Linked DNA regions of Oryzias latipes. The protein of the gene in region 1 interacts with the protein of each later gene in a pairwise test. Links are inferred from orthologs where the notes say so. Each region holds a gene or a part of one and is shown on either strand. Other genes may lie near its edges.

The links.
Region 2: the proteins of fam102a (region 1) and skap1 interact in binary tests that used the Homo sapiens proteins (3 or more experiments, as listed by UniProt). The two-hybrid records come from large-scale screens. The link is inferred for Oryzias latipes from reciprocal best matches to the Homo sapiens genes EEIG1 and SKAP1.

The regions. Positions count from the first base shown.
Region 1 is NC_019867.2:32,086,455-32,090,272, reverse strand, and holds part of fam102a (protein FAM102A), read left to right. Parts: intron 1-472; coding exon 473-519; intron 520-1,898; coding exon 1,899-2,050; intron 2,051-2,518; coding exon 2,519-2,629; intron 2,630-3,780; coding exon 3,781-3,818. UniProt on the Homo sapiens protein: Key component of TNFSF11/RANKL- and TNF-induced osteoclastogenesis pathways, thereby mediates bone resorption in pathological bone loss conditions.
Region 2 is NC_019877.2:19,113,850-19,118,328, forward strand, and holds the start of skap1 (src kinase-associated phosphoprotein 1), read right to left. Parts: upstream 2,884-4,479; 5' UTR 2,723-2,883; coding exon 2,683-2,722; intron 1,890-2,682; coding exon 1,784-1,889; intron 1,407-1,783; coding exon 1,381-1,406; intron 1,257-1,380; coding exon 1,143-1,256; intron 1-1,142. UniProt on the Homo sapiens protein: Positively regulates T-cell receptor signaling by enhancing the MAP kinase pathway. Required for optimal conjugation between T-cells and antigen-presenting cells by promoting the clustering of integrin ITGAL on the surface of T-cells.

The DNA.
Region 1 (3,818 bases):
TCACATACCTGACATGTTTGGAGAGACGGAGGGAAGACGTCTGTCCAAACATGTCAGGTATGTGAAAAACACCACCGTGTCTGATAACAGCACAACCCAGGAAGTCGGTTAGTAATACAGACGCTATGAACTTTACTGAACAAATGTGCTCAGCACAGCAGAGATTGTGTGGAGGATCAAACCGTCTCAGTCACAGCTGAGCTTCTGCACAATATGCAAATGTTTTTAATCTCATTGGAAAAACTGTCCAAAGTTTCTGCTATTACCTCAGCCTAAACAATCAGCATTGATGGCTTCACTTCCACAGAAGATCGTGGCTATGTCCAAATTCCTGCCCTACTCACTATGTAGTGCGTTTGCCATTTTGTAGTGCTGGCTCTACTGGTCATTGACTGTGCTGTTCAGACGTTTTTCAGAGACTGTGCTGATGAAACAAAGAAGTAGGTGTCATGAACTTGTTTCTGTCTTGAAGGTGATCATTGGAATGACTCTTTTGTCTGGAGATCCCTGTTTCAAGAGGTGAGTGCCCCACATGCTGGCGTCCAACGCCGTCTTTGATGGATTGTTTGAATGTTCTGGATTTATGTCATAAGATATGAAGGACAAAACATTCCTAAAGGGAAAAAAACTATCAACTCAAACTTAAACTGGAGCTGCTTTTAACTATAACCATAGATGGAAAATGTTCCTTATTTTTGGATTGGTAAATATTGACAGTTAACCAGCTTTTAACAAGCTTTTGACAGATTTAATTCCTAATGACACCATCATATGAGTAATCGATGAGTCCTGAAGTTATGAGATCCGTTTCATTCTTTTTTCAGGAAGGTTTTCAAAGATCTCAGTCCAAATGTCGTTACAGAAGCACAGATATTCCATAAAACATCTGTCTTTTAGGTCGCTGAGGACAATTTAAGAAGAAACCATATATTTGAGCTGATTTTTACTGGGGAGCAGCTAAAATCCATCTGAATTTTTTTTTTAAATGTTTTGAATTTAAAAAAAAATATGTTTGTGTCCATGTTTCTTTGTTCAATTAAGACAAGTTTAGCTCCAAACTGGACAGATTTTACTGTTACAGTGGGGGTTTATGTATCTTCAGACAAACAAAGTATATTTGTATAAACCCCTTTTGGATTTGAGGCTAAACTTTATCTATGATCATTATATTTGAAAGAAGAGAGAAAGAAATGGAGTGGGATGTTAGAGATGGGGGGGGTAAGGGATTAGAATGGGGGGGGGCAGTCGATAATACAAAGTCAAAACATAAGATGTGCACTACTACTTACAGGTTGGAAGTATATTCATACATTGATGATGGAAGATGTGTCTCACTAGACTTCTGCACACAGACAGCTAAACACTAGATCCGCATTACTAATATTCTTGAGGGGGGGGTCCAAACAACCCCCATGCCCATATTTGTGCAAAAGTGAAGAAGGATATTTCAGATTTCTTTTTTTTTTTCAAGTTAAAGGGTGTGAATATTTTCTGTACATAAAACACATGCATGCATGCACACACACACTCACACACCCACAGGGCTACCATAATCTGCACTGTAATTATGACCCCCCCCCACCCCCAGAGAGAGTTGGTTCTGGCTTGTTTTCTTCAGAAACAGCAGACGTGCCTTTCACTCCTTCTGCTCTGCTGCTGCTTCCAGAAGAATCTGTCAGTCCTGGACCGTGTTTCTGCATTCACGCCCCCCAGACATTTACTGCTGCAGTCACTTGAAATACTTCAGCTGCTGCGCTGATTTCAACACTGGGCCTCATCTGACCCGAGCCCCCCCCCCCCCCCCCCCCCCCCCCCCCCCCCCCCCCCCCCCCCCCCGAGCTCATTTCATCTGCTCCAGATTGATCAACTCTCTGGTTCCTTCTCTTTCCCCCCTGCAGGCCTCCAAGCACAGCAAAGTCCATCTCTGTCCCCGGACAGGAGCACGCCCTGCAGCTGGACTGTAAGGGGGAGGGAACGGCCGAACCCGGACCGGCCGTGGGGGTTTCTCTGGGGCGGGCCCCAAAGCCTCGGCCTTCCATCATCAGCTCGGGTACGGCAGATAGCAGTCGGGTTTGAACAGATGTGGCCTTTGGTGGTGCCGTGTTTTGAATCACACCCCACAGTGGGAGGAAATCCCAGAGTTCTTGGGTCAGACGTTTCCACACAGAGGTGGAGCTGCACAAACCAGGAGTGTCTGCGGAAACAGACTGTTTGATAAGGCAGAGAAACCCAAAACACGTCGGGTCGAACGTGTTCACCAGCTTTAACTTGTGACTTTCCTTCTACACAGAAGCTAAACACCAACATGTGGATTTTCTCATTATACCAGGAAACGGCATTGAACCTGCTGACAAGGCCACAAAAAGATGTTAGCTGGGACTAATCAGATTACTGCGAGTAATCTGCTCATTGAATGGGGCTCGTGCTCCTCAGGTTTTTGTCAGCTGGGGGAGAAAGTGACTTCTGCAGACACGAGGGGTTCCTGTCTTTGTGTTTGACTTCCTCTGGTCTCCTCCAGGTTTGCTGGATGAGACAGAGGGGAACCAGAACCAGTCCTCTTCCACAGAAGCGTTCCAGTCCGGTCACTCTCGGAACTCCAGTTACGCCAGCCAGCACAGCAAAATCTCAGGTCAGCGTTCCACTTTAGCACTTTACCAAATGTGTCTCAGTAAAGCTGCAACAATTGAAACAAATCAAACACTTTGGGGGAAAGTTCTTCAAAGACGCAGGTCATCGGCATCTTCGGGGTGTCTTTTAAGCATGTTTTGCTCTAAGAGGATCCTGTTGAGCCATTAAATGAGAACTTCTCGTTTCTATATTCACGATGCTGAAAAGCCTCTGAAGGCTCCGATTCATCCAGGTGGAGTTTTTCATTCCCGTCTTTCTTAGGATGTTGTTTTTTTCAGGGAAATTGCAGCAAAATCACAGATTTTTTGGGGGGAAAACCTGAATAAGAATCCATGTTATAAAAGGGCTGCACCGGTGGGACAGTGGTTAGAGCTCTTGGCTCACAGGAAGAAGGCCCCCGGTTCAAGTCCCGGCTGGGGGACCTGAACTAGAACCTCAATGGGGGGGGCCTTTCTGTGTGTTTCTGTGTGGAGTTTGCATGTTCTCCCCGTGCATGCGTGGGTTTCCCGGGGTCTCCGGCTTCCTCCCCCTGTCCAAAAACATGCTTCATAGGTTCATTGGAAACTCTAAATTGACCCTAGGTGTGAGTGTGAGAGTGACTGAATGTGTGATTGTGGCCCTGCGACAGAGACAGTGTACCCCGCCTTCGCCCATAAGTGGCTGGGATAGGCTCCAGCAGCCTGTGACCCCGAAAGGGACAAAACGGTAGAAAATGAATGAATGTTATTAAAGTGTAGATGTCATTTTTGATACTAGCTTGGACATTCATTTGTTCTTTTTTCAAAACATTCCCAGTGGTTTTCAGGTGATAGTTATGTTGGCGGAGGTCTTTCATGAAAAAGTAAAAGTTTGCAGTAAGATGAGCTCAGACTGAGTCTGTCTCAGCAGAGACAGCAGCTGTGGGCTACAGGTTTGTTGGGGAACGTTTGGCTTTGGTTAATGAAAGGGCTCTTATGTGCGCGCACATCGACGTGACTGTTAACCCAGTTTAACCAGTTGAGATGAGGACATGGTGGGAGGCTCGAAGGTTCTGTTCCCGGGATGCTGAAGTTCCTAAAATGCCGCTTCCACATGAGACTCTTAAGGGGTTAATCCGGGGAGGTTCCTCCGTGGTTTGACTGACGGCGTCTTGTTTTCGCCGTCGGCTTTCAGGCTACAGCACGGAGCACTCCTGCTCGTCCAGCCTGTCG
Region 2 (4,479 bases), on another chromosome or scaffold:
CCACAATTTTCCCAAATTAGTCTGTATTGTCTTATTTTATCGTGGTCCATATTTACACCATTTGCTGTGATTGATGTTTTTTTTTCAGTTATTAGGCAGAAAAATAGCTGTTCCTTTTTGTTGGATGCAGCAAAAAATGGGGACATTTTGAAATAACAGATCGGGCTCAAACAATATCCAGCTGTTACTAAATGTCTTCGTTTGAAAATAACTTAAAAGAATGACCTTTTTCAGGGTGAAATCTTTACATATCTTCTGCTTTACCTTACAAAAAAAAAAACAACAGCAGAGCACCTGAGGCAGCGGAGTCTGTAATGCCCACCTGCGGCACGTCAAAGACTATTAACTGGTACATATAGTCAGGAATTCTCCATCTGAACAGGAGGAAGAAAGATAGAAAGAAAGACTGATAAAGGGAGAGAAGGATGAACACACACGGCCCCTCAGGTACAGTGTTGTATTTCAAACCCGGTTGAGAAAGAATAGAAGGGGCTTGAGGTCAATAAATCACTGCATTAGCCTGAAGCTACAAAGCTTCCTCTCTGTGTGGGATTTCGCCTCACACCATCCATGTGCAACATGAAAGCTCTGGACCTGCCACTGGAGGGAGCTGTAGGTCATCATACAAGTCCTTCTGAACCACCAGCCTCCCTTTCTCCAGTGTCAGAGTACCTGCAAAGTAGCCAGGAGGGAGAAGCGTGGGAGGAGGAGCCACTTATGTCACTGGATGGAGAGGAGGGAGGCAGGAATGAGGAACATTTCACAGATGTGGTCTGCTTTTTTCAAATCAAGAGGATGTAGAACATTATATGGCAAAATACTCCATCTGGTCCTCTCACTTTGTGCTGTTTCAATGTCGAGAACAGAGAACTGATGATTTTCCACAAGATAACATCAGTGGTGTCTGTGAATTTTGTGCTGCTTTGAGGTTTTTTTTTCATCAGGATAGAAGATTGAAAATAATATTAAAGACACGTTGTTGTGGCTTAAATGTTGTTAAGGTGTTTCCACACTGTTTTAGCAGAAAAAAAGAGCCTTCAAGTGACAGAAGAAAGAGGTCATCTTCAGTTTAGGCGTCTACATTATATCCCACTGTGACCCACACAATCTTAAAGAGTGAGACAGAACTACTGTTAACTCACAGTCTGGAACATCATCCTGGTAGTCAGAAGCCACTGAAGCGTCGTCGGAAGGGGCAGAGCGACCCAGGCTGGAACTGCGGTTATCATCAGAAACATCTTCCTCCCTGAAGTCCACTGAGAGTTGGAGAACATTTAAAAAAAGGGATGAATCAAAAACATGTGAGGATACTTTAAGGGAAGTGTGTGGCAGAATTAGCCACAGGGGGTACATTGTAACAAATGAGGATTTGTTACTTACATCGCAAGGGGAATTCTTGAGGATTTCTGTACAAAACAACAAGAAAAGATCAATCTCAAGCACTAAACTAACACTTGATTCTTTTTGTCTTATTAAGTTTATGATGGCTTCAAGAAGTCTGTAAATGTGTCATGCAGAGACCACAAAGCCACAAAGGAACAGAACTTCAGTAAGGTTTGCAGTGCAGACAGTGTCGGCTTCCGGAGAACACACTGAGACAAGGGTTTCACTTGAGTTTATGTGCAACTCCTGCTTGGAAATTACATTTTTTTTAATCATAGTTTTTTTCTTTTAAGGACTTATCCAACTAAAATCACTCAGATTAAGGAGACACCAATAAACACAACCTGGAATATTTCAGAGGTAACAAATGACGCACTGTTGCTTCAAAATGAACACCTACCTTGCATGAACGACTCTGAAGTTATTCAAAAGGACCTGGCGTGTTTTTTCAGCACTTTCACTTAGGTTCTCATCTTGAAGGATCTCAAAAATAAACAGTTCGCAATCTGAGGAGTACAACAATTTACTATGAGTTGGGTTCTCTTTTAGAGGGACAAAGTTAAAAAAGTATACCTTTAGGCTATATTATATGTTCAGACGTGGCAACTTTCAACATGGCACTGGCCTACATGTGCATTTGAGGGTTTGAAGTGTTTCATTTGAGCTCCAAGTTGAGGTTTCTTTGTGCATATTTTGATCTTGGGTTCCTATGAAGTTCACTGACTGAGAATGTTGACTCAAAGTAATCTAGAAGCCTTTTTTCATCGTGTTTTCTACTTCTAAAAGTGCTTCTTCTCTGGGTTACTACCACGTTACTTTTAAAGAAATGTGTACAACTAGAGCCATAAGAGAAAAACCAAATATGTCTTTTGCATTTAATTTATATCAACAGCAGGTTTTAAATGGTTCAAAAAGAAAATACTAATCTTTGCCAGAACAATGAGCGAATGGGTTAGTCCACATGGCTTATCTGATTTCCCTCAAATGATAAACAAATAACTTGACACATGCAAATGATCTGTCATAGGTCATGTTCCTTTATCTGGATGATTATGCAAATAAATGCCATGGTGTCACCAGGTTGGAAACATCTTTACACAATAGAGAGTTTAGGAGAAACATAAAACTGCCAACTTTTTATTTCTCTGCTAACAATCATTTTTTTAGAAATGAATTTCATATTCTCCTGATGCTTCTGGGGGAATAGAATCACAGCTATAACGCTAAAAACACAGTAGTTTTATTTTGTAAATCTGATTTGAAAAAATAATCTAATGAGATGCAAGAAAAAGATGTTACCATCCAAGAGTCTCCTGAAGTCTTGCAGGCATGTCCCCATCCCTTGCCTTTGCGTGTCCAACACGATTCCTGCCTCTTCACACTTTGATTTGACCCCAGAAAGTATTTACATTCAGTCTCTGTTCATGACCCAAACAAGAGCTAGATGCTCATCAACGCTCTCAGATCACAGCAACGAAACACTTTTTTTACTCCAACCTGACTTCCGTGCATTTAAACATTTGCACACAGTGGGGAGGAGCAGGAGCATGGGTGACTGTTTCCTGTGCAGTTTCTCTACCATCGCTGATAACATTTTAACTGGCAGAAAGGATGTTGTAAAGCAAACTGGAGTGCTTCCCATTTACAGACACTCAGGAAAGGTGCTTGCGGTAATACATTTTTTGATTAGTTAATCATGATTTCATCATAAACCTCCAGTCAATCCAGCAAGAAATCTGCAGCTACGCAGCTGGTCTTTTTACAGTTTGTTCCTCCTGTAGACAATGTCGACAGGAACAGCTCAAAGCTGTGGGTTCCATGTTGTGCAGAATGTTTTAAGCTGGCATAACAGCACCTGCACCCTCTGTCTGGAACTGTAGCTTCACCACTAGGTCTGTGGTTTGGTAATGTGTTACTGAGATAAAGAAAGGCTTTCCCTGAGAAATATTTGTCTGAGTGGCAGCAAGAATGACTCAACGATGCATTAATGGAGATTCACATAAGTGAAAGGTACCAATGTAAAGTGTGTTATGTCACGGTGTTACAGATGTTAATTTTTGGCATTAATATTAAATGATAAAAGGGATTATTTTTCATCTTTTTGGTGGAGAGAAGGCAAATCCAAAGGTTTCTTAAAATATCTTGTATTTTTTACTGCCATTTTGGGTTAAAAGAAATTAGCTACAGTTTTTAAATATGTCTGAGAGGGTTTTGGAAATGATTCATTTGTTTATTTTCCTTTACTTTCCTGAAATAACTTTTCAATAGTGACAATTTTAGCCTTTTTTTAAAACTCCTAGCTTTACAACCAACCAAGGTTCAAATCTGAATCTTCCTAGATATTTTTCTCTTGGCTAAGTTTGCTTTGTCAAACACTTTCATATTTTTACATCATTTTAAGGGAATCTAAGGTTAGCTTGGTTGGTAAAGCAGTCATTATGTAACATCAGTAACTGGTAAAGGTCTGTCAATCATAGTTACTGACTGAAACTAGTCAGTTCACATTCACTGTCATGAAAATGTTTCAACTTAACAACAACAAAAAACATGCTTACAATCTGATTCCAGTAGCTTTTTATTCTTCCTATTCTTCATTTATAAGTAGGCTATAAACTTCATAACTTTATTTTATGTGTAACAGATATCTATGGTTTTGAATGAGTATAAATTCAAGTTTTACGTTGAAAACTTACACTTTAGTCTTGTTTTTTTTCAGGATAGGGTCTTTATAATGTTACCAGTTGTACAAATGCATATATTCTGTTGTTTTTTCAAAGTTCAAGTCCTCTTCTGCATCCCTCACTTCCGGTGTTCCACAAAGCTCAGTTTTGGGACCTTTATTGTTCATTTTATATCTAATGCCTTTCCAGCACATTTTGAGTTCTTTTAACGATGTTTCTTATCATTTTTATGCTGATGATCTTCAGCTTTATGTGTCCTTTAAACCCCAGAATGTTTTTAAAATGCAGATTTTACGCAGGTGTCTGGATTCATTCAAGTGTTGGATAAATAATAATTTTCTCCGACTAAATTAAGCCAAAACTGAGGTTCTAGTCTGTGCTCCTGACAGTTGCCTCCCCCCGGATAGTCCAGTGG